Linked DNA regions of Drosophila melanogaster. The protein of the gene in region 1 interacts with the protein of each later gene in a pairwise test. Each region holds a gene or a part of one and is shown on either strand. Other genes may lie near its edges. The genes, in order: Cwc25 and Non1.

Region 1 (13,656 bases):
CATGATAAATTTTAAGTTTAGACCAAATCTATGGAGGTAAAAAGATAGTTGGAAAGTAGTGCTGCACGAGATCGAGGCCCGCCCTTTTATCACGTTTTAACCGACTAATGTTATTCCACAATAAAAATAACTTTGTATTTTGAGAGACTGATTGTTTAAATTGTCCAAATTGAATTTAAGATACATGTACATATAAGTGGAATAACCATTGTAAAGCAGTGCGTTTAGGCATCCGAAAGAGCAGCCACTCCAGGCAGAACCTTACCCTCCAGCAACTCCAGGGAAGCTCCTCCACCGGTGGACACATGCGAGACCTTGTCGGCGCCTCCGAACTTCAAGCAAGCGGTGGCCGTATCCCCACCACCAACGATTGTGGTGGCTCCTCGGTTAGTGGCCCCGATTACTGCCTCCAGCATGGACTCGGTGCCTTTGGAGAATAGCTCGTTTTCGAACAAGCCTGGCGGTCCGTTCCAGACGATGGTTTTGGATGCACAAATAGCGCCAGCAAACATCTGACTGGATGCCTGGCCGTGGTCCAGACCCATCATGTCCTCCGGTATGCCCTGTGTGGCATCCACATGTTCCACTTTATCCGGCTCCTTGTCGATCTTATTGGCTATGACAAAGTCAATCGGAAATAGTATATTCACGTCCTTCTCCTTCGCCTTGCAGACTATGTCGTTGACCAACTCGGATCCCTTCTCGTCGAAGAGGGACTTTCCAATCTCCATGCCATTGAGCACTTTGAGAAAGGTGAAGGCCATGCCACCGGATATGATCATGGCCGTTACATTGTTCAGGAGGTTCGTTATCAGTGGAATTTTATCGGCTATCTTGGCGCCACCCAGAATGGCCAAAAAGGGCTTGGCCGGATCGTGGAGAACCTTGGCAAAGTACTCCAGTTCCTTGTCCAGCAGGAAACCAGCCGCTCGCACCTTGTAGCCATCGCCCATCATGGAACTATGCGGACGATGTGCTGTTCCAAAGGCATCGTTCACATAGATCTCGCCCAGCTGCGCCAACTTGGCTCGGAATTCCTTCACCTTCGCGGGATCTGCTTTGACCTTCTTCTTGTTATCGTCCTTGCTGCTGCCCGTCTCCTCGGCATAGAAACGAAGATTCTCCAACAGGAACACAGTGCCGTCGGAGGGATCCTTCAAAGCTCTCAGGGTGCTATCACCCACGCAGTCGTCCAGGAATTGAACCGGCTGGCCCAGCACACTCTCCAGCTCCTTGGCCACGGGTTCCAGGCTAAACTTTTTGTTCTTTTTGCCATCCGGACGCCCCAAGTGGGATGCCAAAACCTAGGCAAAAAATTAAGTTATTCGTTCTATACTTTTTAGGAATTGAAGGAAGATATATCAACTCACCAAGGACTTACATTTCTTGTCCAAGGCATATTTAATACTGGGAAGTGCGGAAACAATTCGTTGGTTGTTGGTTATTTTGCCATCTTTCATGGGTACATTAAAGTCCACTCTAAAAATAAATTTATAAATCACACACTAAAACATATCTGGCAAGGATACTCACCTCATAAAAACCCTTTTCCCAGCCACATCTACATTTTTTAAGCTCAACTTCTTTACTTGCTTTCCATTGCAATCGTCTTTGCTAAAAAATCTTGGAAATCTTAATTTTGTAAATCGAGTTTGAGCTCTTTGGTATAAACTCTGCCGAATTGGAAGCATATTAAATAAATTTATTACCTGTTTTTGACTGAAAATACAATGCACGATGAGGAAGTAATTATGAAAATAAGTAACTAAATTAACTATTTTCAATAATTTTCGAAAAAGTAAAAGAAAAATGTAACCCTATGGCAACACCAAGTTAAATTACTTCACCACGATCTGGCAGCCCGGGCGAACATATGATTTTGTTGAAAACAACAGAAAAGGAGGGAAAATCTGGAATTGTTTGTAATTTGTTTGTTTTGCTGTTAAAACGCAAATCAAACCCAAGATGGGTGGCGGAGATCTAGTAAGTAATGTCTCCCAACTGATTATCCGTCAATTACCATTGATTTTTCCCGCAGAATCTGAAGAAATCATGGCATCCGCACACGATGAAAAACCAGGAGCGCGTTTGGAAGGCGGAGGAGCAAGCGAAGATGGAGGAGCGCAAGCTGCAGGATCTGCGCAAGGAGATCAACGAGGAGCGGGACAGAGAGGAACTAAGGCGATTGGGCGAAAGTTCCGGAGTGCTGAGCAATAATGGCGGAGCCGCCGGCGAGGCCAAGCTGGAGTGGATGTACAAAAGTGAGTCATACATGTGAAACTCTTATAAAACTCATTATCCATACATATTTATCTTGCTCCAGACAGCACAGAGCTGATCAACCGCGAGGAGTACCTCCTGGGCCGTAAGATCGACAAGTCCTTTGAGACGCTGCAAGCGGAGGAAAGCCGCCAGGAGCAGAACACAGTGGGTCTCAAGCAAACGATCAACCATGTGGAGCACGACTGTGTGCCCTTCTCCATCCGGACCTACCGCAATGTGCAGTCCAACGAACAGGTGGACATACAGCGCAAGACCCTCGAGGATCCCCTGATGCTCATCAAGCAGCGCGAAATGGAATCCCGTCGAAAGCTGCTTGAGAACCCCGTCAAGCTGAAGGAAATCCATCGCATTCTCAAGACTGAACAGGAACAAAAGGCCGCAGAGGGAAAGAAGAAGAACAAGAAGAACAAAAAGTCTAAGAAATCCAAAAAGAAGAAGAAGAACCGACGATCCAGCAATGAGGAAAGTAGTGACAGCGAGAGCAATGATAGCGACGATGACTTGGACAGAAAATTAGCCCGCCAAGTGAGCAAACTCAAGGGAGACCAAGGTGACCTTAAACTGGACAAGCTGCTGGACGCCAAGTACCGCACCATTTCAAATCAATTAGACATGGCCACCAAGAAGAAAAAGAGCAAGAAATCCAAGAAGAAGAAAAGCAGCGATAGCAGTGACGAAAGTAGTGACGAAGAGGAAGAGCCAAGGAGAAAGCACAAAAGGAGCCACAGCTCAGAGGACAGAAATCAGCGAGAAAGACGCAGGAGTAGAAGCCCCCGGGATAGAAAAAAGCGACAGAGTAGAAGTCCGGAACAAAGGCAAAGGCAAAGGAGTCCAGAAGAGAGAAGGGAAAGGCGCAGGAGCAGGAGCAGAAGTCCCTTAGCGAGAAGACAGAGAAGAACCAGGAGCCCAGAGGACAGAAAAGCCAGACGTCAAAGCAAGGACACTTCAAAGCAGCGCGAGAAACGCAGGAGTAGGACACCTGAAGAGCGTTCCAGATCAAAACGCAGCAGGAGCCGAAGTTCCAAAGGAGATGACAAGCGAAGGATTGCCGAAAGACCGCCTCCCAGCCGTCCCACCGGCAAGCCAAAGTTAAGCGAAGCCGACCGAGAAGCTCGCCTGCGCGAAATGATGGACAACGCCACTTGGAGAGAAGCGGATCGCAGCCAGGTGGTTCGCAAGCACCGAGAAGCATACGCGCGCGAGGAGGCCCAAAATCGTGAACGAGACTTCGACAAGGAGTTCATTAACAAGGAGGTGAAGAAGGCCATTGCCAACCATAACTCAATTGGCGATCGCATCCGGGCCAATCTCAACAACATACAGCGCACCGCCTCCTCAATGGACAGCAACTTTGCCCGCAAATAAACTAGGATTCCTTTATTTCGTATGCATTATATGGTTCCGCAACAAATAGATTCAACACTTTTTAACGTCGTGGTTTGTGCTTACAAGGTAAACGATGCGATTAACATTAATATACCGTATATATGTACGCTTAGGCGCTGGTCAATGCAGCCACGCCTGGCAGTGTCTTGCCCTCCAGGAGCTCCAGCGAAGCGCCGCCTCCGGTGGAGACGTGCGAGACGAGTGCCTCCGTGTTCCACTTGGCGCAGCAAGAGGCAGTGTCGCCGCCGCCGATGATGGAGACGGTGCCGTTCTTGGTGGCGGCCACCACGCCGTCCATGATGGACTTGGTGCCGTTGGCGAAGTTGGGGAACTCAAAGACACCGGGGGGTCTAAAATGGGAAAACCATTATAGGACATTTGGAGAAGTAGCTTCAGTGTGACACCTACCCGTTCCACACGATGAGCTTGGCGCGTGCGATGGGTGCCGCGAAGAGCTCACGGGTCTTGGGACCCACATCCAGACCCATGTGTCCATCGGGAATTCCGGCCTCCACGGTGGCCTCGCTGACGGCAGCGTTCTCGGCGAACTTGTCGCCGCAGACAAAGTCCACTGGCAGATGCAACTGCACGTTATTCTTCTTGGCCTTCTCCACCAGTTTCTCGACGATCTTGGAGCCCTCCTCGTCGAACAGGGAACCGCCGATCTTCATGTTGTTGAGGACCTTCAGGAAGGTGAAGGCCATGCCGCCACCGATGATCATCTCGTTGACCTTGTCCAGAAGGTTCTCAATCAGCTGGATCTTGTCGGCCACCTTGGCGCCACCGAGAATTGCCAGGAAGGGATTTGGTGGCTTGTCCAGGGCCTGCGAGAAGTACTTCAGCTCCTTGTTCAGCAACAGACCAGCTGCGCGCTGCTCGAAGCCATCGCCCATCATGGAACTGTGGGCGCGATGGGCAGTGCCGAAGGCGTCGTTGACATAGACATCGCCCAGCTTGGCCAGGCTGGCACGGAACTCCTTGACCTTGGCAGGATCGGCCTTGACCTTGCCGCCGCTGGCATCCAAGCCCTTGCCCTCCTCCTCCACGTAGAAGCGGACGTTCTCCAGCAGAATGACGGATCCCGGTGCGGGATCCTTGCAAGCGGCCTCCACTTCGCTGCCGACGCAGTCACTTAGGAAGATCACATCCTGGCCAAGCAGGGTCTTCAGCTCAGCGGCCACGGGTGCCAGGGTGTACTTGATGTTCTTGTTGCCATCGGGACGACCCAAGTGGGACATCAGCACCACCGACTTGGCTTTCTTGGAAAGGGCCAACTTGATACTATCCAAGGCAGCGACAATTCTCTGGTTGCTGGTGATCTTGCCCTCCTTGATGGGCACATTGAAGTCGACGCTGCAAAGAAGCACGGGCAATGTTTATGCAACTGAATTTCACGCGAGGATTGGCTTTGGATTACCGCATCAACACCCGCTTGCCCGCCAAGTCCAGGTTTTCGATGCTCAGCTTATTGAAGGCCATCTTTGGATTTTTCTGGATTTTCTGGATACTTCCTGTGCGTGCTAGCAAACTCCGGATTGCGATACCACTGATTCCGCGAATCTTCTTCGTCCTCAACTGCTGTGCGGCAATGTCAGCGCAAGGTCATTTTGTCGGTGAGCTGCTAGGGTTGCATCTCCACTTCCAGGGCGTCAATCCGTGGCAAGCGGTTTTCCGCCGATTGGTAGGTGCCATGCGCAGGATCCAGCTGGGTATACTCCTATTTTGGAGTCCGAAGTTGGTATCGGATTGTATTCTCGTTCGAAAGTTGGATAAAAGTTGTACTCTCCAAATGCAACTCTGTATTTGGCGCCCAAGCAGTGTTGGTAAGTGCTGTCAGCACAGTGCTGTGAAGCATCCGTTCCAAGGGTGTCGAAAAGGGGCCACACAATTCTAAAATTTAAAAATCTATTATTTAAAATATCATTATTTTCATAATATTTAAATATTGTCCATAGATAATCATATGCTAAAAATTAACAAAATAAATGTCTGCATATTCTGACTAGATCATTTAATTGATCATTTGCTATTTACAGTATACAATTTTTTTTATATTAACTTAAATAGAAACCGTTCATATAATATTTTCACTTAAATACATATAAAAATTATTTTTTTTAATAAATTTTTTATAATAAATTTTAACCCCTTAGAACTTTTTTCTTCCACACCCTTGAATGTCTGTTAAATTTTAACTGAAAGTCCGAATTAGTGATTTTTTATAAAAATTTATAATTAATTTATAAAAATAATAAAAAAAAAATTTAATAAATAATAATAATCTACGACGTACATACATATGTCCATACCGTATGTAACAGCCGCCCCTTTGATGTTTGTATGTCAATATGTAATTATTGAATAAATGATTTCTGTTGAGGCCAACAAAGTCAAATCACACAATCTTTCTCGGTGGCCGTTGTTTTATTTTGACTGTGCAAACGGATTCCGCTTATGATGCCATGATGATGGCTCCGCCTCTTCCCCCAATGATTCATTCATTGTTGCCCACTCTGTATCTCTACTCATCTCCGGCGGTCCAAGCAACCACCGGCGGCACTCGGCACTGGCACCACCAAACGCTAACCCACCGCATCACCACCCACCACCCAGCACACGGAACACCACCACCCACCACAAGTGCTCAGTGCAGCGAAATGCATGACGCAGATGGCAAAGTAAGGTATATGGGAACGAACGAGGTTGGGTTGGTTGCTGGCCATTCGGGGGTTTTCTAGCCAAAGTGGCGGGTTTTCAAAGAACTAATCTGCCCAAAGGACCAATTGTAATGTGAGCACATCACTAAAATAATCGATAGATTGCCATATCTGATGGGGTTTTGGGTGGCTGCCTGGGAGACTGGGGTGCGTATAAGCCTATTTGGGGCACTTCAGATGCAGCATTGCAGTGGTAGCGGCTGTCCTCCTTCATCCTTCAGCCAGCCGTCGGAAGAATGTCCACTCACACGTCACGGCTGTGGTGCTCTGCGCAATTAAGGCACCGCCGAGGACCCGGGTACCCACTGGTGATGACACCACGGCGCTGCTGCTGGGTCAGGTGGTATTGGAAATCGAAGACAATGGGGCTGCTTAAATTCATTTTAATAATTGCGTGTAAACCGCCCGTTGACGCAGGTGAAACGCAGGCGAGCAGGTGAGCCGGGCCAGTACATATACCTGGTCGAGTCGCGTCCATGTGGCCCGGCACTCGTGTGGAAACATTAGCACATGCCGGGAAAACGAGACCCGACTCCGAAAGTGTCCAATGCGACGGCGACGGCGATGACGTGCTAGCGCTAGAGATCAAGAATCCAGAGAGTCAAGCAGCCAAACAACAGCCAAGCGACCAAGCGAATCGCCCATCTAGCAACAGTCTAACAATCACTCTAATCGAGTCGTAAACCTGTTCATGTTGTTCCACCCAGCCATCTTGTTGGGTACCTAAGCGCTAGAAGGGACAGCCTATGGTGGCTATTCGTATGCGCTACAATTGGTTTTGTATCTGAACGGTGAGCTGCGCTACTCTTCATACATTGTTTACCATGCTATCGATGATATCATATCGAAATAAAGCTGTCAAAAGAACTGAAACTTCCGTTTTTGAAAAGCCTAACAACCCGATTAGAAGAAATCTATTAAGCACCGCATTAAGCTGAAAGAGCGAAAAACTTAATCGCCGTGAATACAAGCTGATGTGTGTGTTTTAGATACACATGCTAGCTGAAGCGTCTGGCTATCGATTGTGTTTGCATTGAGATTTGTTCGCACCTTTATGCTACAGCAAATTAATGACGCAACAACGTGTAAGTGCACTGGGAGAAATTCCTGAGGCAGGTCAGTAACGACAACGGTCGGGGAAAAATCCCTTGCGTTAGTTTCGTGTTCGAAAGGGCCATAAAATTTCCGAATCGACAGATGTTTGGGTTCCGGGAAGCAGGACCATCCATCCATTTCTGCCTGCTTGAGATCCTACCTACCCGGTGGTTGCCTGCATTTGAAACCGTTGTCTAACCTTGAAGTAACTACGGTCGTACCAACCAAGCCGATAACTCGAGAAATTGGCACAGGTTGTCCTCAGGAATCTAGATACCATTGTTCAACACCGAGAGGTGGTCTCACAAGCCCGATGAGCACGACTATTCGTATCGCGAGAGACCCACCAATCTTGGGCCGACGAGCGTCAAGCCACTCGAACGGATACTGAGAGTTCGGCGGACGGAAAGTGAGACAGTGACAGCCAGAGAAGAACGGTAGGCGGCCCATGGAAGCACAGCGAAATGGAGACGCAAATCGGCTTATCAGGCAGCGATGTTCAGGCAAAAAGTCATCGCTGCTCCTCAAATATGTGATAACTGAGTGGACGACGGGCCACGATTACAGGTGTTTACGTTCACCATGCCGCCTCGGTTGGGATGCCGCGGAACATGTTCGCCGGTTTTAATTAGCGATCCGCCTGTCGACAGTCGTCCGCTCGCTCTGTCGTCGACCGTATTATTCAGATTACCAGATATATAGCCTAGGTATTCGTATTTGCCATTGCTTTCGCACGAAAATAGCTGAAAGCGTGAGAGGCTGTCCAATCGAAACTCGACTGTTGGATACCCGGCAAACGATAGTTATTACCCTTTCGTCGATAGGCTACTGGAAATAGCACCAAGAACCTTATGTCTTCCGGTCGAATTCCTCTAGTATTACTTTATGGGTTGTTATTCCGCTCGTTAATGTGCACATTTTGAATGAACTTGAAGATCAACCTCGCAGTGATTGTCCCACTGATAACACAGATTTATAGAGAAGAGCCAGTACAACTCGAGCACGTTGACTACCAGGTGATATGGGCGATATGTTATAGCCTACTCGGCAGTTCCAGTTTCCCATATATTGGGCGATTCCTGAACCCACTGGGTTCGTGCGGCGAACGAAGCCATCACCATCAAATGGTCGAACCACAAGTGCGGGATCAACAGAAAGATTGGCACATGAAAAAAGAGTCAAGGGTGGACCCAATTCGACGAGTGATAGGCATTGGCATTTAAGTCGAAGTCTTTGGTGGGGCCATTAGGACTTAAGGATGTTTAATATTTCTGGAAATTGCCGATTTCGAAAACTAACCCTTAAATGTTTTCGAATCTTATGGGGTTGCAAATTGCTGTTTTCTTGCTATTTCTCCAGTTCTCTAATTCTAGTTTTAAGACGCATAATCCCGGAATAGAGCATTTCCCCGATTGCGTGCATCTAAATAGTTAGAATCTCAAAAATAGCTGCCCGCTTTCCTGGTCCGCGAAAATCACCTGCTTCCCCACACGTTACCAATCAATTGACCCCAATCCGCGACGACATTGCGTCCCACGCTGGTCCACTCTATAAATACGAATACCGTGCTGAATACAACACACAGCACACACATCTGCATCTGCGGCAACAATGCTGCAACACTTCTTCCCATCGGCAACATCCACATCCACTGTTCTGCTCTGTTCTGTTCTGTTCCACCGACGAACGGTCAGAACGCCACAGAGTGACTGCACCACACACACCACACACCACCATCGCCGCTACCAACCCCCAGACCCCGCCCCCAGGCCCACAAGCGCACCACTGGCGCGCGCAATTTTCAAATTTACCGCCAAACGCGCCCACAACCGTACTCACGGAACCCAAGCAGATTTTGTATGGAATTAATCAGGAAACCCACTCAACTTGTCATTTGCGGATCTAGTTTTGATCGCAGCGCCTCGGGAAAAAGCCCAAAATTAAGCGGATACTACCAGCTATAGCCTCGATCAGTCTCTGAACCGATCCGAACAAAGGTATTCAAGTTATAGGCAAAAATGTCTGCAACCGATTTGGCGCAAGAAGAAGCAAGCGGCAATTTCTAGCCATCGAACGGACGGCAAGCTCAGTCTTGTACGAACCGTCGACGGGAGCACATATCGGTGGTTAGCAAACCAAAGGAAAACGGATATTCCATACATCAGTGGGGCCTACGAGTAAATCCTTTTGCCTGCCGTAGCGCCGCCTGATATATGGCACCTCCTAAAGCCTTACTATATAGATACTATATTATCAGAAAATCACCGCAAAATAATATACCAAAAATCCAACGATCGCTCTGCTCTGGGCTGTTGTTGTTGTCTTATCGACTGCGGCTGTACAAATGCCGCGGCGATTTTTTGAGTGTATTGTATGGGCCAATGGCGTGGGAGAGAGAGAGCGAGTGAGCGTCGTAACGATTTCGGGGAGAGCGAAAAAGAGAGCAGCGAGAGCGTTTAAAGAAAGTTACTCTCTCCTCGAGAGGCAGTGCTTAAATAGACGGCCCGCAGCTGAATCGCATTCAGTGTGTTTGTGTGCTTCGTTCGGTGCGGTTCTCTCTGTCTCTCTCTCGCCTTCCCCGAGTATTTTGCGCTGGTTTTTTGTCAACAACAAGACAATCCACAAAACCAACCCGAATTGTTCTCTATATAACGCAGAAACTAAATAGTTCCGGAAAACCTCAAAGAAACCAATTCAAATATGTCGGCTGCTACGGAACAACAGAACAACGGCGATGTGGCCGTGGAGAAGGTGGCGGCAGATGATGTGTCTGCTGTCAAGGACGATCTCAAGGCGAAGGCGGCCGCCGAGGATAAGGCCGCTGCTGCCGATGCCGCCGGCGACGCGGCCGACAACGGTACGTCAAAGGACGGCGAGGATGCCGCCGATGCCGCCGCCGCTGCCCCCGCAAAGGAATCCGTGAAAGGCACCAAGAGGCCAGCAGAAGTGAGTACTGATCTATGTGACTAGGTAGTTGTTTACGCGGTAAAACCAAAAGGAGGCCCCTCTAATGATTCACTCCAAGCCAATATGCCAGTAGCATAGCATTGTTCGAGGAAAAATTCTAGAAATAGATATACACACGTTTTTCGGAACAGCGCACTCTCCCAATGGCTTACATATGCCCCCAAAAGAGAGAGCGTATAGCTGGCTCGGTTGTGCGTTTGTGTTGTTTACGATTAACCAAGATGATTGCGGGTCCGGCAATCAAAGATTATTGTTGTTAGGTTCAAATCGAGGTTAGGAGGGCCGCCGTGCTTATATAGGCGGGGAGTACAGTTAGCCAGGGCCTTTTCTTTGGTGGGGTGGGTAATGTGTTTTTAATAAACCCATAGGTCATTAGCATTGACGTGTCCGCTGAACAGCGTTACCCAGCAATAGATACATTGTGGCATTACGTCTATAACTCATACGCTTGGCCTTATTTATCAGTCGCTGTGGCTACGGGAATTGCAAATGCAAACGCAAACGCAATTCAGCGCGATGCCAATGCACTCTCTCAATGAAAACACACATTGCCGGCCGGTAAATTACTCATGTCATGTTTGGCCACTTTATTTTTGGTTAGTATCGCCAAGAGCACGCGGTATTCGAACAAGTTTTGGGGGCCTGAAGCAGTCGCATTCCATAATCGAGTAGCACATTTCTTGATAAAAATAAAATAGTTCGGCCAGTAAGGCAGATAAATTGGCAAATCAAGCGCTTTTCTCAGACTCAAACTCGAAATAAAAATGTACAGTTTAACGGGAGCGTTCTCTCGCTCTCTCTCTCTCTCCCCGGAGAAAGATAGATACAAATAGAGAGCGCTGCTAACTCTCTCCCTCGTAATTTGTATACACACCGTTTTGTCTGTTTGCGTATGTGCTTACATTTATCTTTCACTTTTTTTTCTGCTCTGCCTTATGCGTATTTATTTTAGTACATAAAACAAGACGGCTAAACAGGGTGTCGCAAAAGTTAGTTGGGTTTCTTCGGGATTCAATTGAATAATGATCATTATCCCATGATCATGAATTAGTTGAGATACGTTTGGCACGGATAATTCTTAGTGGTACAGTAACGAATTGTATAGATTTCAAGAATAGTTTTGAAAATTATTCGTTGGTTTCCATATCTTTCGATTCCAAACAACAGATTAGCTTTTGTCCCTATAAATGTATCTTCACGCTTAGAAAACACAAACTAAAACCTCTAACTAAATCAAGATACATTGATTACCCAGTTATAACACCAGTAATAGTAGGCTTAGTTCTTGCCAATACAGATACACCCTGTTCGTCTTAATCCTCTATTGGCCTTTTCTCGAGTTCTGGGTCTCGTGACTTATGCTGTAAGCGAAGTGAAAAAGGGGGGCGATGGGTGGCCATTAATTTTGCACATTTTTCCACAGTCCGATTGTTTTTCGCTTCTTCCGCTTTGTAACAGTCTGGTAAATAGGGCCCTTGTGTTGCGGCTTCTCTTCGACTTGGGAACGTGACCGCCTATATACTGCCATAAACCATATACCATTATGTGTATCTTGTTGTTGGTTGGTCAGCGGCAAAAGTTAAACCCACGCATGTTGTTGTTTTGCGCCTTTTTCGCTGCCGACGTCGCTGCAGCAGCTGTCGTTCGGATGGCTGTGAGTGAGAGCGAGAGATTCATTCATGCAGTTCAGGTACAGTTTACAGTGCTGCGGATTCAGATGCTCTCTCTCTGGCGCTCTCGCCCGCTCTCTATCTTACAGGGCACGCTTCGTTTCGTATCTCACGGATGCGGATACATATGTCGCTGCCGGCGTCGCTGCTTATTGTTTTTTTTTCCTTCCCCCTTATGTAGTAAATATGTCGCCTTGTACATACGGAGCACAGATGTAATGTAGCGCGGTTGCACTTGTAATCCACTCTCTCACGTACTCTCTCTCCCGCTGTCTCTTTTTGCCGCAGCGAATTACATTGGCGCGCGCATTTTTCAAATGTTTTTTTACGGCGAAAATAACGATTTTCGTCGCTGCTTGTTTTGTGTGCTGAAAATATACATTTTATGACTATGTACACACGCACAGGAAGTTGAGAGGGGTATTGGATGCCCTTGATCAAGGAGATGTGTGGGTTTGAGTTGGGCGCGTAGGACCATTTCGCTCCGTAATTCTCCCTAATATCCTTTAGTTTGTTTCTCAGATTAATATCAAAAATGCATAATTAATAGTGACGGGCCCCTTATTTCTGTTCAATAAACTTGCTTGTAATACAGTAAATCATCAGCGGAACAAAAACCAAAGGAACTCTACTAACTTCTCTTTTTTCGCTTCCAGGCCAAATCCGCAGAATCAAAGAAGGCCAAGAAGGCCGCGGCCGCCGATGGAGATTCCGATGAGGAAGAGGCTCTGGAGGAAATCATCGAGGGCGACAGTGAAATCGAGAGCGACGAGTACGACATCCCCTACGATGGTGAGGAGGATGACATTGAATGTGATGGTGAGTTCACGGAAGCACTTCCCTTTTCCACATCAATCTAATCCCCGGATTTTCCCTTTCCCTTACCCGCGCAGATGATGATGATGATAATGATGACGGTTCCGGCTCGGACGATCAGGCGTAATAATAATGTAGTCAAAAATACAAACAAAAACAAACAAAAATTTAAATTAATAATAAATAAAAGTTACAAGCAAAAACAAAACAAAAAAAATATAATAATAAACCAACAAGCAGAAAATAAACCACAACAAGGAGAAAATGAGGAGGAGGAGGAGAAAAAAACCACAAAAAAATCGCAAAAGTATATAATTTTTATGTTTAAGAAATAATTTTTTATTTCTTACCTTATTTTAATTGTATTTTATGTGTACTTTTTTTATAAAAAACTACAAAACAAACAAAAATTGTAATTGAAGGCATTTTCGTATAAACGCAACCTATACGGAATCCAACAAAAAGTAAACATCCCCACTATATACAAGAACAAAACAAAACCAAAATCTTTCTTTCCTTTATCTCATAAGTCCTAATTTAAACGCCCAGTTGATGCGTAAACCAAGATATACAAAGATTTCAAATGTAGCGTAAACGAAGCCCGCGAATTAAACACAGATACACTACACTCACACACACACACGATATTCAAATTCATTATTAAATTAGACGTTACATTTGTGAATGAATGATCGATCGAAAGAAGCAAAAATACAAAAGTG
Region 2 (16,652 bases), on another chromosome or scaffold:
GCCAAACTTTAACAATTTATTAAAATTCAGTTTTAACGAATCTTATTATACTTTAGGTAGCAAAAACTTTTGCCCCTATTTTGGTAATTAATTTTCTTCAATGCCTGCTTTGAAAAATATGTACTAACTCTTTTGATAAGTTAAGTCCAACGAAAACTTTACTTCAAAAAGAGAAACTATTTAAGCTGTAACTTTCAGTATATTATTAAGCAAATATATCAAAAACAATTATGTACTGCCTAATTACAATAATCACTGTAATCGTTTGTTTTTCAAGTTTTGCACTGTTATTTAAGCCAATAGTTTTATCCAATGCCAAAGTTATTTTATATAGTCTGAATTTACCTCTTTGCATTCCGCTTGTATTTGACTTTATAAAATGTAAATGCTGATGTTGATTTAGTTTAATTGGAATTTCCCCATCCGAGTGGTTCAAATATCAAGCGCACTTTAAAGTGAAACTTAAGTCGTGTTAGTTTGAGCATTCTGTTTGATTAAATGTTTGCTTAAATTGTGGCCCAAATGGTTTTTTGCCTTTTTTGTCCGGCTGCAAGGGTTGGCTTCAAGGGTTTCGCAGCTGAAGCTGCCATCCTTGTTAATGCTAATTGCATTTTGTCTGCCAACCTGCTCGGAGCAAATGGAATTACGGAAAATAGTTGCCGAAGACAAGAGGCAGCCAGCTGGTTGGCAAGGCCAACCCGCAAACCGCATTCAAGCCACAGAATGGCTGGCTAATTCAATGCTGCACAATTTGCTGCTCATTTTAGCCTAGTTTTCTGTTTTTTTTTTTGTTGTGAATTTTATATGTAAGGGGGCGGGGGGTAGATCAATAGAGGTCATGTGATTCACAGCCTGCCGCAATTTGCATTGAATATGCTATGATTTGATATGCTCATGATTTATGGCCAGTTTATTCTGCATAAGGTATACGCCGAGCTCATCAATTAGGCACGACAAGTGCGTATGTAAAATACGGATCGAAATGTCAATGCCGATTTATTGTTCAAAAATCGGTCAGCTGGGATATGTGCGAGGTTAGCATGCTTAAGGTTTGAAAATACTTGATAAATGGCGACGCGACATACGGCGCGAATATTTCGATGATTTAGGACTCCAAACGCCATTGTTCCAGCCAAGAGATGCGAAGTTTTGGTCATATACTGAGCTATATGTACATATGTATAATTTATCCCGCCAACACAACAGCGTGCTGCCAACTACATACCTCATATATGTACATTTTTATGTACTCGCACATTCCGCCGCAGCCTGGGCAAACATCTGCTGTATTCTCATCCAGAACCGGGCGGAAAAAAATAATATTGAGGCAGTGCTCGGTCAGGCGCAGAAACACACTCACAATGCCACGAATATGCGCATATAAATATTAAGGCTTTTTGATGGGTGCACAGGAAGCCTATGCACAGATTTGCGAAAGAAAGTTTCAAATGAGTTTCCATTGAAACGCCCTAATGCCAAATTAAGCCAAAATCCAGCTTCGGGTTTATGCGGCAGAAAATGAGACGTCAGACATGTCACATGCATACATATCACACACCCATCCACGCACACACACACACACTTATATTCAGTGGAAAGGAAAAAATTCAGAAGGAAAGTTCTGCAGGAGCAACCGAAAAAATGGCCAACAAAAAGAAGAGAAAACAGCTTATAATGAACGAGCCAAAAGCTTAGGCATCCATTGCCAAGAGTTTCAACGTTTTTGTGATATTGCCCATACGACATGTTGGCTTCCAATCACTTTCTAGCTAAATCGCAGAGATTGATGTTCCAATGCTGATGCCAAAAAACCAGTACAGTTGGAAAAAGCCAATACCCCAAAGATTTGTTAAATTCTGCTCTACACTCAGTGTTCATTTCGGGTAATCTACGCTTTGGCATCTGATGCTAAAAGTTTTAATGATGTGTCAGCTTCAGATAGCTAGATAGATAGATATATTGCGACAGAGTTTGGAAGGGTTGGTCAGCTGCGATGAAGTGCTTCCAGTGGGCCCAATGAGCAAGTTAAAAACTCGTGAAATACCCTCAACAAAGGGAAAAGTAAATTTACCATTACCCGGATTCCTTTATTTATTTGTATCCCTCTAATTCCTCTTAAGCTGAACTTCTTCCCACGCACAAACTTCAGTTTTGGGCAGCCAGGGGACAAAATCGAGGCCAAAATCCCGGCATTTCGGTCGAATGCGAATCGATGGGTAAATATAAGTATTTCGTGGCCCCGTTTTCCTTTCCCACTCTCCGCTGATTTGGTATTTCGATGTATTGTATAAACACCTTAATCAAATTTCACTTCAAAGACATGGAATTCCTGCTGTTTGTGCTGCTTACAAAACTCTGTTTACATATGGCTCGTACATAAATGTACGCACACATGGCTTTGTTTATAGTTCGGGCCTGTTGTCTGACAATTAATTGTGCATTCATTTTAATTAAGCTCCGTTCCTCTCGGGCCCAGATAAATGGCTAATTGTGTGGAAGGTTTGCTGCGCCAGCTGAGGAATTTTTCAATTAGCAAATGACATTGGCATCGATTCTCGTCACTTTGCGACACCAAAATGAACTTAGCAGGCCTGGCCAGCTTATGATTTATCCTTATCTGCGGCATACTTTGGGGCGCCCCTCACTCACACACTCGCACGCACACACAGCCACTCGTACTAACGAGGCTATCTGGGCAGCGGCAACAGCTTCAACTTGTTGACGTTGGCTCCCAGCCTGCCAGGATCCAGCATCCCAGCATCATGGCAAGTGGTGGGCGTAAAGGACGAAAAAAATAAAATCACCAGGCAAAGGGAGCCAGCAAATTGTTGAATGTACATGTACACTCCGTATCTGTGTGGGCGAATTTGTGTTACAGTGCGGCAACCCTAATTTGAACTTTTTAAGTTGAACTTTTGAAAGGTTGACTTTCTGCGTATTTTGTTAATGGAGGGACTTAGAATGGAGGAAAGCTCTGCCAATTGCAGTAAAACACTTACTGATATTATAAAATTAAAAAGTATATATACAAATAGTACCTAGCAGATTTATATATTAAATTACTTATAATTATTATAAGCTAACCGCCCACTGTTTGGTAACATGTACCAGCTTAAGAGTACTTAAAGTTATACACACATCCAAGTTGGGAGTTGCAGATATATGAAGTTGTCCTGTATTTTTTTTTTCGCATTCGCTCTACATACAAGCACCAACACAGGCACGCAGACACACGGACGCGGAGACTCGAGTGTTGGACTAACTGTTTTGCGGCATGCCAGAACCGAAAAGAGCGAGAGGACGCAGCGCGTGGATAGAGGGATGTGGCGAGGGGACGGAAGAGGCGCAGTGAAGACTGGAATGGAGGGAACGGAACGAGCGGAGGACGAGAACGACAGAAAGAATGGCGGAACGAAACAGGCCTGGTCCTGCTGAAACGTTAAAGAGCAAATAAATGTCTCGCAGCAAACAAACGAAAAAGATGAGTCGGTCAGAGGGAAGAGAAGTGGAAGAGGAGCAAGAACGGAGAAAGTGGAGAAGGGAGAGAGGAAGCAGACGGAGCCACAGAACTCCAGACGCACACAAGGATGCTGCCCGAAACACGCTTGCTTATTACCGTTACATTCGGGGACTACTCCAAGTGGGGAAAGCGGGCGAGAAAGGGACGTGGAGAGTCTCCTTTTTACTGCCCTTGTCGAATTTTATGTTGTTAATTTTCGTTTCATCCGAAATTTGATTGTTTTTATTCAATTGTAGGCTGCTCCGCTTTCTTTTTTATCGATGCTCTGGCCTCTTCACCATACTCTTGTTTTGTTTTACACTTTTTGCACTAAATTGTGCTGCCTTTCTTTGGCTATTTACGTGTAATTATTTATTTAATTTTTTTTGCTTAACACACGTTTTTTTTTATTTTTTTGTTAGCTCGGCAGGCTGTTGAATCTTTTATGAGCCAACCATCACCAGCACACACTCACTCCAACACGATGTCTTTTTTCCCGTTGCTTATTTTTCTTCTTTTGTGGTATGGCTCGGAAAAACCTCCGTTAACCGACGACGACGTGTCCACTGATGGAAATCTCGCCCAACACTGAATTACCCTTGGCATCAGTTCTGCCCTCTGCCAGCGTCGCTGCCTCCGTCGACGCCGCTGCCCGCCTAACAGGCTCTGCTAAGCTAACACTATAGGTCAGTGCTAATAACAGAGACACCTGCATCGCACTCGGCCAATCTGGCTTGCCTTAGTCTGTTATTTATACGCTGTTGCATATTTGAAGCATCTGTTTTCTATCGCAACTTTGTTGCTGCTCTACGCATGTGTGTGGGTGGGAATGGTGGTGGGTGTAAGTGTAAGTGTAAGTGGGTGGTTGGTCGCACTCCGTTTACGAGCCACGCTCCTAAGTAGTCTGTAGTTTTTCTGAGTACACATTGAGAAAAACCATACATGGCGGATGTGTAATTTTTTTCAGACATTTCCCACATTTATTTAGATTGCGAATGGTCCTCAATCAACAAAGGCCAATTAAAATTTCAACTTTTCGGTAATTATTCAAGGAACTTTTAGTAATAGCGTGGTGAATTAAACAACTAAATAGAGATATTCTTACTTAGAACGCGATTAGAAGTAGCACAATATGCTGTTTGTTAACTTATTTAAGTTAAATAAATTTCACTTCGTGTTTATTTTGTTATTCCCCTTTTTTGCGGTGTGTTCGGTGTGTTTTTGGTTTGTTGAGAGCACATTTTATGGTTCTGCTTCCGCTGCCCAAGCGGAAAACTCTTACTTTATGCCAAGCGTTCCGGGCATTATAATAGACCGACACTCTTCTTCAGCCTGCTCTGCACTCGTAGTGCTTTACGTTTATTTTAAAGGCTATACAGACCATAGAAAAATTGTACATTAAATACACACAAAGAGGGAACACATGTTGCCGAGAAAAATGGAAGCCCACCAAAAATGGCCGATTCGCGCAGCCTCCAAAAAGCTGTTGTTGTTTTTCGTTGTGCTGTGTGCGTAAAAACATGTAAATATGTATGTAGATATATACAAGCTAATGGCGGGCCCAAAGTATCCAGGGAATACATCAGAATTTACATCAGCCAAACACACTTGTATTTGCGTTTCATTTGGAGAGCACGCGCCATTTAATTTCTCATATTACATCTTCGAGGCACCGAAACTTGAGATGAGCCTAAGCTTCATTTAATTCGATGCCCGACTAGCACGTTATTAATATCCGATCCGTGGCCGATTCAGCAATCACACCGCAACAGCTGCGAACGCTTTGAGCCTCGAACTGCGACTGAAATCGAAAGTGAGTGGGCGGGGAACTTAACATTTCATTTGAACACCAGCAGGAGGATTGGCATCAGCAACAGCAATGCGGCAGCAAGTGGGTCCCGAAAGCCTTGGGAGCCCGGTTAACAGAGCGCTAACAGCCGCTGGCCCAAAAGTTGGCCAATAGGTCAATTACACTGCAGTGGCCAGAACTCAGAAACTGCCATTTGACGCAGCCCTCGACCAACTTCGCTGTTAAATATTAACAAATCCATCAACGTACACTGAGCTAAATTGCAGGGACTTCATTCTGAATTGAATGAACGCGTATTAGGATGGCCAAACAAAAAGAATGTGCGCTGTAAATTATGCGGAAGAGACGCCGTACAAACTAATGATAAGCAACCATAAAAACAAAAACATAAACATATGAACATTGTCTGCTCTATGTTGATAAGTATTTGAAAGCGCCGAAAATTGCGTTCGCTACACGCGCCAAAAGTTGAGAGCTTAAAGGTTTTAAAACAAGAACAATTACAAGAACAATGCGTGAGAATTTCTCTCTCGATCATTCTCTCTCTTCGCACTCTCCCTCTCACTTTCGCGCTCTCAATCTCTCTCTCTCCGGCTTTTGAATTCCAGTTCAAGTTCAAGATAGTCCACATAAAAAGATTGTTTGACAAAAAATAGTGTCTTCAATTTCCAAGGTGTTAGGTAGAAATTCGTGTCCCTTGCAGCACCATTCCCGAAGTTAATCTAATCTTTTATTTTATCGTTTTTATAATTACCACTAATCATAGACATAACTGAAAGCGTATATAAACTTCAGCTTGCTGAGTATTTCTTCATTGTGAAATTGAGATTATGTAACAACTGTTTCGCCATTCAAAGCCCGTATCTGCTCATAACTCGACCAGTAAAAACGTGCCATGAGCAAAAACGCGGGACCAAAGTTTTGTAAACAAAAAAGCACGTGAACAGTTTTAAAAGAAATATAAATACATTGACCAACCAAATATGGACAAGCAACCTGTTTTGGAACCAACATTCGATTCAGTTTCAGAAAGAGAGAATACATCAATTGAAGAATCTTCACTTCTGGAGAACAATGGATTCGATCACCGTAACAAAGATGAATCTCTATCAGTTAACACTTCTCCGCCCCTTGTATGCCGAAAATGCTTCGAGCTTGGACACCAGACCGAAAACTGCAAACAAAAACTGACTGTCAACTCAGAAAATAATTCTGCTCAGAATGAAAAGGGTAAAAATACAAGTTTTGGTTCAGCTGAAAGTTAATTTTCTGAATGGCAGAACTTTCAACCAGAACCAAAACTGATATTATATCTTCTAATTTATCCATATAGAATTATTCCTTAATATATTATTTTTCGTTACGGCAGAGAAAGTCCTTCCGGAAAATCCCCGAGCTCGATCGAATTTTATATCGTCATTATGCTTTTGGTATGTCATTTATACATTCATATATTTTTTACACCTTTTCACGATTATTCAACAAATACAGGTATACCATACCTATATTTCGTAAGGGTTACAGAAAAACATTGGACTCAACGGACCTCTATAGACCCTTGGAGGAGCAAAAGTCGGGTAAGAAATTTAAATATTATTAAAACATTTATGTTGACTAATGCAATCGTTGTATTGTAGATATACTTGGCAACAGGTTGTGTGCCTCTTGGGAGCGAGAATTAAAAAATGACGGACGAAGCCCAAGCCTCGTCAGAGCTCTGCTGCGGGTTTTTGGCTGGCAACTGGGATTCCCTGGTCTGGCGATTTTCGTTGTGGAACTGGGACTACGCACTTTGCAGCCGATCTTCTTGGTGAAGCTCATATCGTACTTTTCTGGGGAACCAGACGCTGCCAATGCTGGATTTTACTATGCAGTAGCTCAGATCGTTATCAGTGCCCTAACTGTGATGATCTTAACTCCAACCACGTTCGGCATCCATCATGTGTGTGAGTTTTCAATCTATGTAAATTGATACTTTTGAAGAACTGAGAACTTCTTGAAGGCTTTAAGATGCGGGTGGCCATGGGCAGCATGATCTTCCGGAAGGCGCTGCGTCTGACCAAGGGGGCACTGGGCGACACTACATCCGGCCATGTGGTCAATCTGATTTCCAACGACATCCCCCGCCTGGACAGCGCACCCTACACCGTTCACTATCTGTGGGTGGGCCCACTTCAAGTTTTGGTCATCACATACCTGATGTATCAGGAGGTAAGCAGATCCCCCCGTTCACCGTGTAAACTGATAACATCCATAACATTTCCCCTGCAGATTGGAATCTCCGCTGTGTTTGGAGTGCTGTTCATGCTGCTCTTTATGCCAATACAAATGTATCTGGGTACGAGGACCTCTGCGATCCAACTGAAGGCTGCCGAACGGACGGACAACCGGATTCGGATGGTCAATGAAATAATCTCCGCCATTCAGGTGCTGAAAATGTACGCCTGGGAGCAGCCGTTTGAGCAGATGGTCACTCACGCTCGCGAGAAGGAGATGAACACCATTCGCCAAGGACAGTACATAAGGGGATTCGACTTCGCCCGCAGAATCGTCCTCTCACGAGTGGCCATCTTCCTTAGCTTGGTTGGCTACGTCATCTTGGGAAAGGTTTTCACGCCGGAAATCGCCTTTATGATAACAGCCTACTACAACGTACTGCTGGCCGCCATGTCCATATACGTACCATCCGCCATTATCCAGACGGCTCAATTCCTGACCTCCATCAGACGCGTGGAGCAGTTTATGCAGTCCGAAGAGCTGGGTAGTTCGGACAAAAGTGAGGGTCCTTCCAAGGATACGGTACCCGGTAATCCACCCTCCAACAATAACGAGGCCGATCTTCTGAAATCAGCTATCTCCATTAGAGACTTGAAGGCCAAATGGGATCCCAATTCACCAGACTACACACTAAGTGGGATTAACCTAGAGATTAAACCCGGCAGTGTGGTGGCTGTAATCGGACTGACTGGATCTGGAAAATCTAGTCTCATCCAGGCTATTCTCGGCGAGCTGAAAGCGAATTCCGGCCAGTTGCAAGTAAATGGCTCCTTGTCTTACACCTCCCAGGAGTCGTGGCTCTTCTCCGGCACTGTCCGCCAGAATATTCTATTTGGCCAACCGATGGATAGCCAGCGGTACGAAGAGGTTGTAAAGAAGTGCGCCCTGGAGCGGGATTTCGATCTGCTTCCCTTAAGGGATAATACTATAGTTGGAGAGCGCGGAGCAACCCTGTCGGGTGGGCAGAAGGCCAGGATCAGTTTGGCGAGAAGTGTATACCGGAAGGCGTCCATCTACCTCCTGGATGATCCACTGAGCGCAGTAGACGCCAGCGTAGCACGTCATCTCTTCGATCAGTGCGTGCGGGGTCATCTACGCGGAAGCACCGTAGTTCTGGTTACCCACCAAGAGCAGTTCCTTCCGCACGTCGATCAGATTGTGATCTTGGCGAATGGACAGATCAAAGCACTGGGCGACTATGAGTCGCTACTCAAAACGGGCCTTATCACTGGTCTGGGAAGTCTATCAAAGACAGATAAAGCAAAGACAGAGGAGCAAGAACCATTGAACCTTAATTCTCCCGACAATAAAAACGAAGTAACTCCCATCAAGGAAAACTCCGAGCAGACCGTCGGAGGTTCCAGCTCGGGAAAGGAGCACGTGGAGCGCCAGGAATCAGGTGGCATTAGTTTGGCTCTGTACAGGAAGTATTTCCAGGCGGGAGGTGGATTGGTGGCTTTCCTTGTCATGCTGAGCAGCTCTGTGTTGGCCCAGGTGGCTGTAACTGGTGGTGACTACTTCCTTACTTACTGGTAAGTTGGTATAACAGGTCTGATTAAGCCTAATTGGTATAAACTCCTTATATTTTCAAGGGTCAAGAAGGAGAGCACTGCTGCTGGCCATGGCGAAATGGAGGATATGGAATCGAAAAGCATGGATGTATACAAATACACACTGATCATAATATTGTCAGTTATCATGAATTTGTCGTCGTCATTTCTGTTATTCAATATCGCCAAAAAAGCATCTATTCGACTGCACAACACCATCTTCAATAGAGTTACTCGAGCTGACATGCATTTCTTTAGCATTAATAAGCATGGAAGCATTCTAAATCGTTTTACCAAGGACATGAGCCAAGTAGACGAGGTCCTTCCCGTGGTTCTGGTGGATGTGATGCAGATTGCGCTTTGGCTAGCCGGAATAATCATCGTTATAGCCAATGTCAACCCGCTGCTGTTGGTTCCAACACTCATGCTGTCCGTAATTTTCTATCATCTGCGCAACTTATATCTGAAAACCTCGAGGGACTTGAAGCGCGTAGAAGCTATAAGTACGAATTCCTTACATTGAATGCATTCAGTATCGATAGAAACTTAGTATTTGTACAGATCGATCACCAGTTTACTCGCATTTGGCTGCTTCACTGAATGGCCTAACCACCATCCGAGCCTTGGATGCCCAGCGCGTTCTGGAGAAGGAGTTCGACAGCTACCAGGATGCGCACAGCTCTGCATTTTTCATGTACATAAGTACATCGCAGGCATTTGGTTATTGTATGAACTGCATATGCGTGATTTATATATCGATCATAACGCTTAGTTTCTTTGCCTTTCCTCCGGGCAACGGAGCTGATGTTGGTCTGGTCATAACACAGGTAAGCCATTACACTAAAGCAGTCACTATCACCTGCCAATCACCTTTTGGTTACCCACAGGCCATGGGACTGATCGATATGGTTCAGTGGGGAGTACGTCAAACCGCCGAGCTGGAGAACACCATGACAGCCGTGGAACGAGTGGTAGAGTACGAGAGCATTGAGCCGGAAGGAATGTTGGAAGCTCCGGACGACAAGAAGCCACCCAAGACGTGGCCAGAACAGGGTGAGATCATCTTTAAGGAACTAAACCTTCGCTACACACCGAATGCCAAGGCAGAGAATGTGCTCAAGTCGCTCAGCTTCGTCATACAGCCCAGGGAAAAAGTGGGCATAGTCGGCCGAACTGGAGCGGGTAAATCCTCGCTCATTAACGCCCTCTTCCGGCTATCCTACACCGATGGATCCGTGCTTATAGACACGAGGGACACACGACAGATGGGTCTGCACGATCTGCGCCGACAGATCTCGATTATACCCCAAGAGCCTGTGCTATTCTCCGGTACCATGCGATACAATTTGGATCCCTTCGACGAGTACAGCGATGAGAAGCTGTGGGGCTGTCTGGAGGAGGTGAAACTGAAGGAGGTGGTGTCCGATCTGCCCGATGGCCTGGCCAGCAAAATCAGCGAGGGCGGAACCAATTTCAGTGTGGGTCAGCGCCAGTTGGTCTGCCTGGCCAGAGCCATTCTGCGAGAGAATCGCATCCTTGTTATGGACGAGGCAACGGCCAATGTGGATCCTCAAACGGATGGCCTCATCCAAGCCACCATTCGCAGCAAGTTCAGGGATTGCACTGTTTTGACAATAGCCCATCGATTGCACACCATCATCGATTCCGACAAGGTGATGGTTATGGATGCTGGACGTGTTGTGGAGTTTGGATCGCCCTATGAACTGATGACCAAATCGGATTCCAAGGTATTCCACAACTTGGTCAATCAGTCGGGTCGAGCCAGCTACGAGGGACTGCTGAAAATCGCCCAAGAGGTTAGATTTAATTAGTATTCTCTAAAAATGAATCCTTTAATGAATAATTTACAATTCATTGCAGACATTTGAATCCTCCTAAGGCCGCAATACTTACTAGTCCAACTGACCAGTTAGATAAACTAATATTTTAAATAAAAATCTAAAGACGAAACTGATTTCTAAAATAGTACATGTTGTGTATTTTTCAAGATTTTTTTTTTTGTTTTCTGCTATGAAAGTTCGCATGGAAAACCCAATCTCTCCGTCATCCATATAAACCGAATGGCCATCAGACTTAAAGCTGCGGCTCCTCGTTGAGCACGACTGGTTCTCCGTCCAGTTTGCGGATGGTGGGCAGCCTCTTGATGCACTCCGCCCGCCAAGTGGGCTCGTCCAATCCCTCGGATAGGGGATTTCCTACCACCACTAGATCTTCGAGAGATTCGATCTCGGCCAGGCGATTGAATTCCGACCAGTCCTTGATCAAATTGTTGCTTATATAGAGCACCTTCAGGCATTTCAGACCAGTCAAACCCTTAATTTTCTCGATTAGGTTGTAGCTGAGCCACAGCTCCTCCAGAGTTTCAGCCACCGCTTCCTACATAAGAGAAGCAAATGATGTGCTAATGGAACCTATCTAATTCGTCCTTACCAGCCCGGATATCTGCTTAATGTAGTTCCGTGATAAGGACAATACCTTGAGGCACTTCATGCCCGATAAGCCGAATATCTTCTCAATCATATTCGTGGACATACTGATTCTCCTGCAGGGGAAACAGAAAAGTAGGAGTTCATTTTCCTCGAAGAACTAAGAACTTTTAAGCTCACTCGCACTGCACCAGCGTACCCAATGTGCTGTCCATTTTCTCGATGGGTGGCCACTGGAATTGCAGATCAATAACCTTGGCAGTCAGGGAATTTTGCTGCTCCCGCTCCTCCCAGCGCTTCAGAGCCTCCTTAATTGTGGTGGCTTTGGACATGATGTTGCTGTGCCGAACAACTTTTACTCATTGGACAAGAAAATTGGTAAAAACCAAACAAACTTCCACGTTGCCAAGGTGAAGTAAGAAACGAGCAAATATCCATGGGGGTAAACTTTGTTTGTGCTAAAGACAATAGTAATGCACATGCTTTTCAGGTCTCTCTCTTTATATAAACTTTTCCAGAAGTCAAGGCTCTTTGCTTTTTATGATACAAAAATTCCACCAAAGTTTACTGAGTGTGTGATGTGTGGTCCCCGAAAAATAAACAATTTGTTTGTAAAAATACAATATTGTATTGAAAATGTTTTTCAGGGATAAAGATAGACGCTTAGTTTATACAGAGGAGCAGGCGAGCCCACCAGGTAGAATCACTTAACCAGCCAAGGCTGCGGCGCTTAACGGCGATCCGTCTTGCCATTTCCACGCTTGCCGGAGAACAAATGCTTCGGCATCTTGGTGCCGATGAAGCGATCCGCCTCGCCCTTGAGACCCCTGCTTGTGACCTTCTTGGCAATATCCCGCTTGGCCATAATTTGCGCCTTCTTGCGAATGGCCAAGTTCTTGATGCCCAGTGTGTCGCGCGACGGCGCCCGCTTCAGAGGCTGACCAGTCTTCCTGACCACCGCAGAGGACTCCTTGTCGAGCAGCGGCTGCATGGGCACCTTCTTGGAGCCAACTGCCACCTGGCCACGACGCAGATCCACCACGGACTTGGTGAAGTTGGCGTTCTCGCTGCCGGACATGTCCACACCGAGGCCCTCCATCGTCGACACCAGTTTCTGTACGGAACGGTCACGCACCTTGGGCTGCTTGTTTCGTGGGATGACTGGCTTGTTCTTTCGCGACGACAGTCGCTTTTCGTCGCGCAGCTCGAAGCGCTTGCCACGGATTTGCTTGGCTATCTCGCGGATCTCCTTGAGCGTCTCGTCCATGGTCATATCGGGCACCTTGTAGACGCCGCTCTCCTCCCGCAGTCCCTCCTCGCGCTCCAGCTCCTCCAGCTTGTCGAAGATGTCGGCATCGATGTAGTCGGCAATGTTGTGACCCTGCCAGAACTCTGGAATAATGTCGTAGCGCTCCTCCTCGGGGATTTCGCTGTAGTTCTTCTTGAGGTCCAGCGTGTAGTCGTCGCCCATCTCCTCCTCGATCTCCTTCTCCAGCTTGCGCTTGCGCTCTGCCTTGTCGGCATTCTGTAGCAGGCGCGCCGAGGCCTTTTCTGGGATGCAGGGTGCACGAAGTTTGTCATCTCGCGGCGCTGGCATCGCCACATGCAAGCGGTTCAGGATGTTGTCCACCTTCTTTGTGCGCATCTTCTGGTCAACACGGTACGAGAGCAAACGCTCACATGCCTCGGTTTTCACCTCCATGACACCGGTTTCCTGTACGGTGGACATGAGCATTACGGGAATGTTCTTGTCCTCCTGTAGTTTGGTGATAATCGCTCGTCGCTCCTCTGGCAGATCCTCTGGTGTTAGAATATCGATCTTGTTGATGGCCAGGATGAGGGGTTTGTTTGTAAACAAAGGCTTGATGCTCTCGAACAGCTTGACCTGTTCCTCCAAGGAGTGTCCGCACTGCTCGGAGATATCCATGAAGTACAGGACGCAGGCGCGCAAATGAGCCAAGGCAGTAATGGCTTGCATTTCGATCACATTGCGCTCTTCCAGGGGATGATCCAGGATGCCGGGTGTGTCAATGACCTGCCAGCGCAGATATTTGTAGTCTGTGTGTCCCACGTACAGGGATTTCGTGGTGAAGGCGTAGGGCTGCACTTCCACATCGGCGCGGGTGATCTTGTTGATGAACGAGGACTTGCCCACGTTGGGGAAACCGCAGATGATGATGGTACGCGAATAGGGATCGATGGTGGGCAGACGCGAGAGATGCTGACGCACTTGCTCCAGATACGTCAGATTGGAGGCCTGTCGCTTCATAATGGTGGCCATGCGACCCAGGGCAGCTTTCTTCAACTGTTTGCAGCGATACAGCGAGTCACCGTACTTCAGCAGGCGCACGTAGTCCTTGGCCACACTGCGGGATAAAAAATAGAATAGTTAATCGAACCTTGTTCGTTTGGGGATCTGTGACTTTGGCACTCACTTGTCCACCAAATGCCTGGCTGTGTTGAGTTGACCCAGCGCCAGCTTGTAATGATCCTTGTCGTACAGCACGTTCATCAAGTCGGCGTAGAAAGGATGCACGTCGTCCAGTTTGGGAAAGTCCTGAATGATCTGCGACAAGCGATCGTGGAAGTTCTGCTGCGTGTACTTCACCTTGCGCGTGTAGAATGCCCGGATTCTGGATATTTTGTAGCCCTTGTGGACCACCGTCGGGGTCTTGCGCTGTGTCTTCGACAGCATAATGTCGATGAAGTCCTGTGGAAAGGGCAAAAAATAAAATATTATTTACATATTGCGCATATTGGTAAACACCTCCAGTGAGGTTATGTCTTTGCTTCAAGGGGTGCTCCGCGGGACGGGCGCTGCTGGGTACACCTTACCTTTGCTGGCGGAACCACCATGATCTTTTTGAAGTTGTACAGACTCATCTTGGCAGGATTTGTTTATTTTCCACGCGTCGAAAGGAAAATAAATGCGGAATCGAAAGCAAAAACACCACGCGGTGTCAGCTTCGTATTCCAAAAAGAACCGGTTCTCGGGCGGAACCAGTTTAGGTTCACATGTGCTGCACGGCGATGCCAGCCCGCGTAACTAAGTCTGGCGATGTGGCATCATTTCAAAGGCATTTAAGATGTTTCAACTTAATTGCAGTTGTTTAATATAGAAATATATCCATCTAAAATATGAGCGAGTATTTCAATTCATTAATTATGTCTATTTTACGTATGCACTTCAAAAATTGTATTACTATTTCAATTCAAAAGGAAATTATTTTTAATTTTTATATAAATTAAACAAAATCACATCTTCCAAGAGGCAGTACAGTGGAAACATGTTGAAACTGGCGTAGGAACCAAAACAAAACATTTTGGCAACACAAACAAAATGGATTCGGAAGCTGCGGGAGTAGCACTTCTCTCCAGAGAGCAAATCATCAGGATACTAAGCGAAGTGCCAGCGGGATTCATAAAGCCCACGGATCCGCCTGCACCCAGTTTGGCGCCCTTCAAGAAACTCGGCGTTCTCGTGGACATCGATGACATCTTGGGCGAGCAGGATGCGGCGGCAGCTAGGATCAGGGACAACATAGATAAGGAGCAGAGCTACAGCTGCGTAGAATGCCGAAAAATGCTGCCCACTGCCCATCTACTGGATCTGCACATCACCGAACAGCACGATTGCTATTTTGCCGCCAGCGTGGAGCGCGGTGACAAGCCCATGTTTTCCTGCTTTCTGGAAGAGTGCACCATCAAGTTTCATACTGCCCGGCAGCGCAAGGATCACTGCATCATAACGCACAAGCTTCCGGCAAACTATCGCTTTGATCATAGCAAGAATAGGGGCAAACAGAAGCATCAAGGCAAAAGCAAACCCAATTCCATGGAGGTGGACGAGGTGATAGAGGAAACTAAAAGTTTGCCCTACGTCAAGGCCTTCAGCTTTGGACATCAAACGCAGAGGAGTTTCTACACAGGCAAAGATCAGAGATCTGGCAAAACACTGGACGATGTCCAGGCCATGAAGGAGGCCATTAACGACATCCTGGATTAGATTTGTACAACTACATATTTATTTTGCGAATGAAGCAGCATTATCATTATCCTGGTAGAACTATATTAGTCTGTTAGCGGAAACATCCTACATCATTTTGCCTTGGCACTGGGCCTGTAAATAAATGAAAATCGGTTTTATTGTTGATTCCGGGCTGTCTTCTTCCTCTTCTTCACCAAGTGGGATTACTTACTTTCCGGTATTGGCATTAATATAATGATAGGCAACCACCAGCAGGAACAGAAATACGCCCAGAACGTTGGAGAAAATGGCCAATTGCACGTCGGTGATCATTTTGCAGACAGTAACACGTTCTATGGATAAAAACAAACTAATTGATTAGAAACGAAGTGGGCGAGTGACACGTCATGGGTGCGGTGTGGAAATCGCGATTTCTGGCCTATTTCTGTATCCACCAAAATGCAACGCGGGATTATGCATCTCATTTGTCGATTAACTTCACCGATTGTTTCGTTTGCGTTCATTAACTTTAGTTTATTACCTTTTTCAGCGAAAAAACGAGCCGGTTTTTATTGTGTACAAATATTTCAGCGTGACCGTAGATCGACCACTAAAATATACCGATATACCTCGCGAACCATAAATAATACCAGATATACCAAACCGGATATTTAAAAAAAAAATCGTTTTCTTTTCTTTTTTTTCAATTTCAAAATGAACGTCATTTATAAAAAGTAAAAGGTTTCCACCATATTTTATTTTTATTTCAATAACTCCATAACATTTGAAATCCAAAACTCGTTATCACCTTTTTACTACAAATAACAAAACCATATTCTTAATTCTATTTTATTTTCATAAAAATATTCAGCGAACAATTGTAAATTCTCGCCAAAAATTATAAATTAACATATTTAACGGCCATCTTAGAAATATTTTAATTATCTTTCCGTATCCAAAGCTTAAAACTAGTTTACATAATACTTATTGCTTTCATATATTTTTTGCGCAGCTCTGTTTTAAAGGTCACTTGTTTTGTGGAAATTGTTGCGTCAGTTAAAAATATTTAGTATAGCTATCGTCATACACAGATCTCTCAATT

What was found.
Region 2: the proteins of Cwc25 (region 1) and Non1 interact in a two-hybrid assay, tested with the Drosophila melanogaster proteins (one large-scale study listed by BioGRID).

Annotation. Positions count from the first base shown.
Region 1 is NT_033779.5:2,743,234-2,756,889, forward strand, and holds Cwc25 (Cwc25), read left to right. Parts: upstream 1-1,864; 5' UTR 1,865-1,965; coding exon 1,966-1,983; intron 1,984-2,038; coding exon 2,039-2,261; intron 2,262-2,323; coding exon 2,324-3,648; 3' UTR 3,649-3,711; downstream 3,712-13,656. Other genes in the region: CG9961 (uncharacterized protein), read right to left, coding at 225-1,304, 1,371-1,479, 1,534-1,691; Pgk (phosphoglycerate kinase), read right to left, coding at 3,779-4,019, 4,078-5,022, 5,087-5,148; Bacc (bacchus), read left to right, coding at 10,182-10,427, 12,775-12,937, 13,012-13,061.
Region 2 is NT_033778.4:9,384,166-9,400,817, forward strand, and holds Non1 (putative nucleolar protein 1), read right to left. Parts: upstream 14,570-16,652; 5' UTR 14,467-14,569; coding exon 14,419-14,466; intron 14,294-14,418; coding exon 14,019-14,293; intron 13,950-14,018; coding exon 12,314-13,949; 3' UTR 12,100-12,313; downstream 1-12,099. Other genes in the region: l(2)03659 (lethal (2) 03659), read left to right, coding at 6,205-6,244, 6,333-6,539, 6,679-6,739, 6,801-6,886, 6,947-7,255, 7,312-7,520, 7,581-9,118, 9,179-9,639 and 3 more; ODA-Dnal1 (outer dynein arm dynein axonemal light chain 1), read right to left, coding at 11,231-11,533, 11,588-11,699, 11,764-11,915; l(2)k10201 (lethal (2) k10201), read left to right, coding at 14,924-15,589; CG33774 (uncharacterized protein), read right to left, coding at 15,682-15,703, 15,783-15,883. UniProt on the Drosophila melanogaster protein: Involved in the biogenesis of the 60S ribosomal subunit. Required for normal assembly of the mitotic spindle. May be involved in both centrosome-dependent and centrosome-independent spindle assembly programs.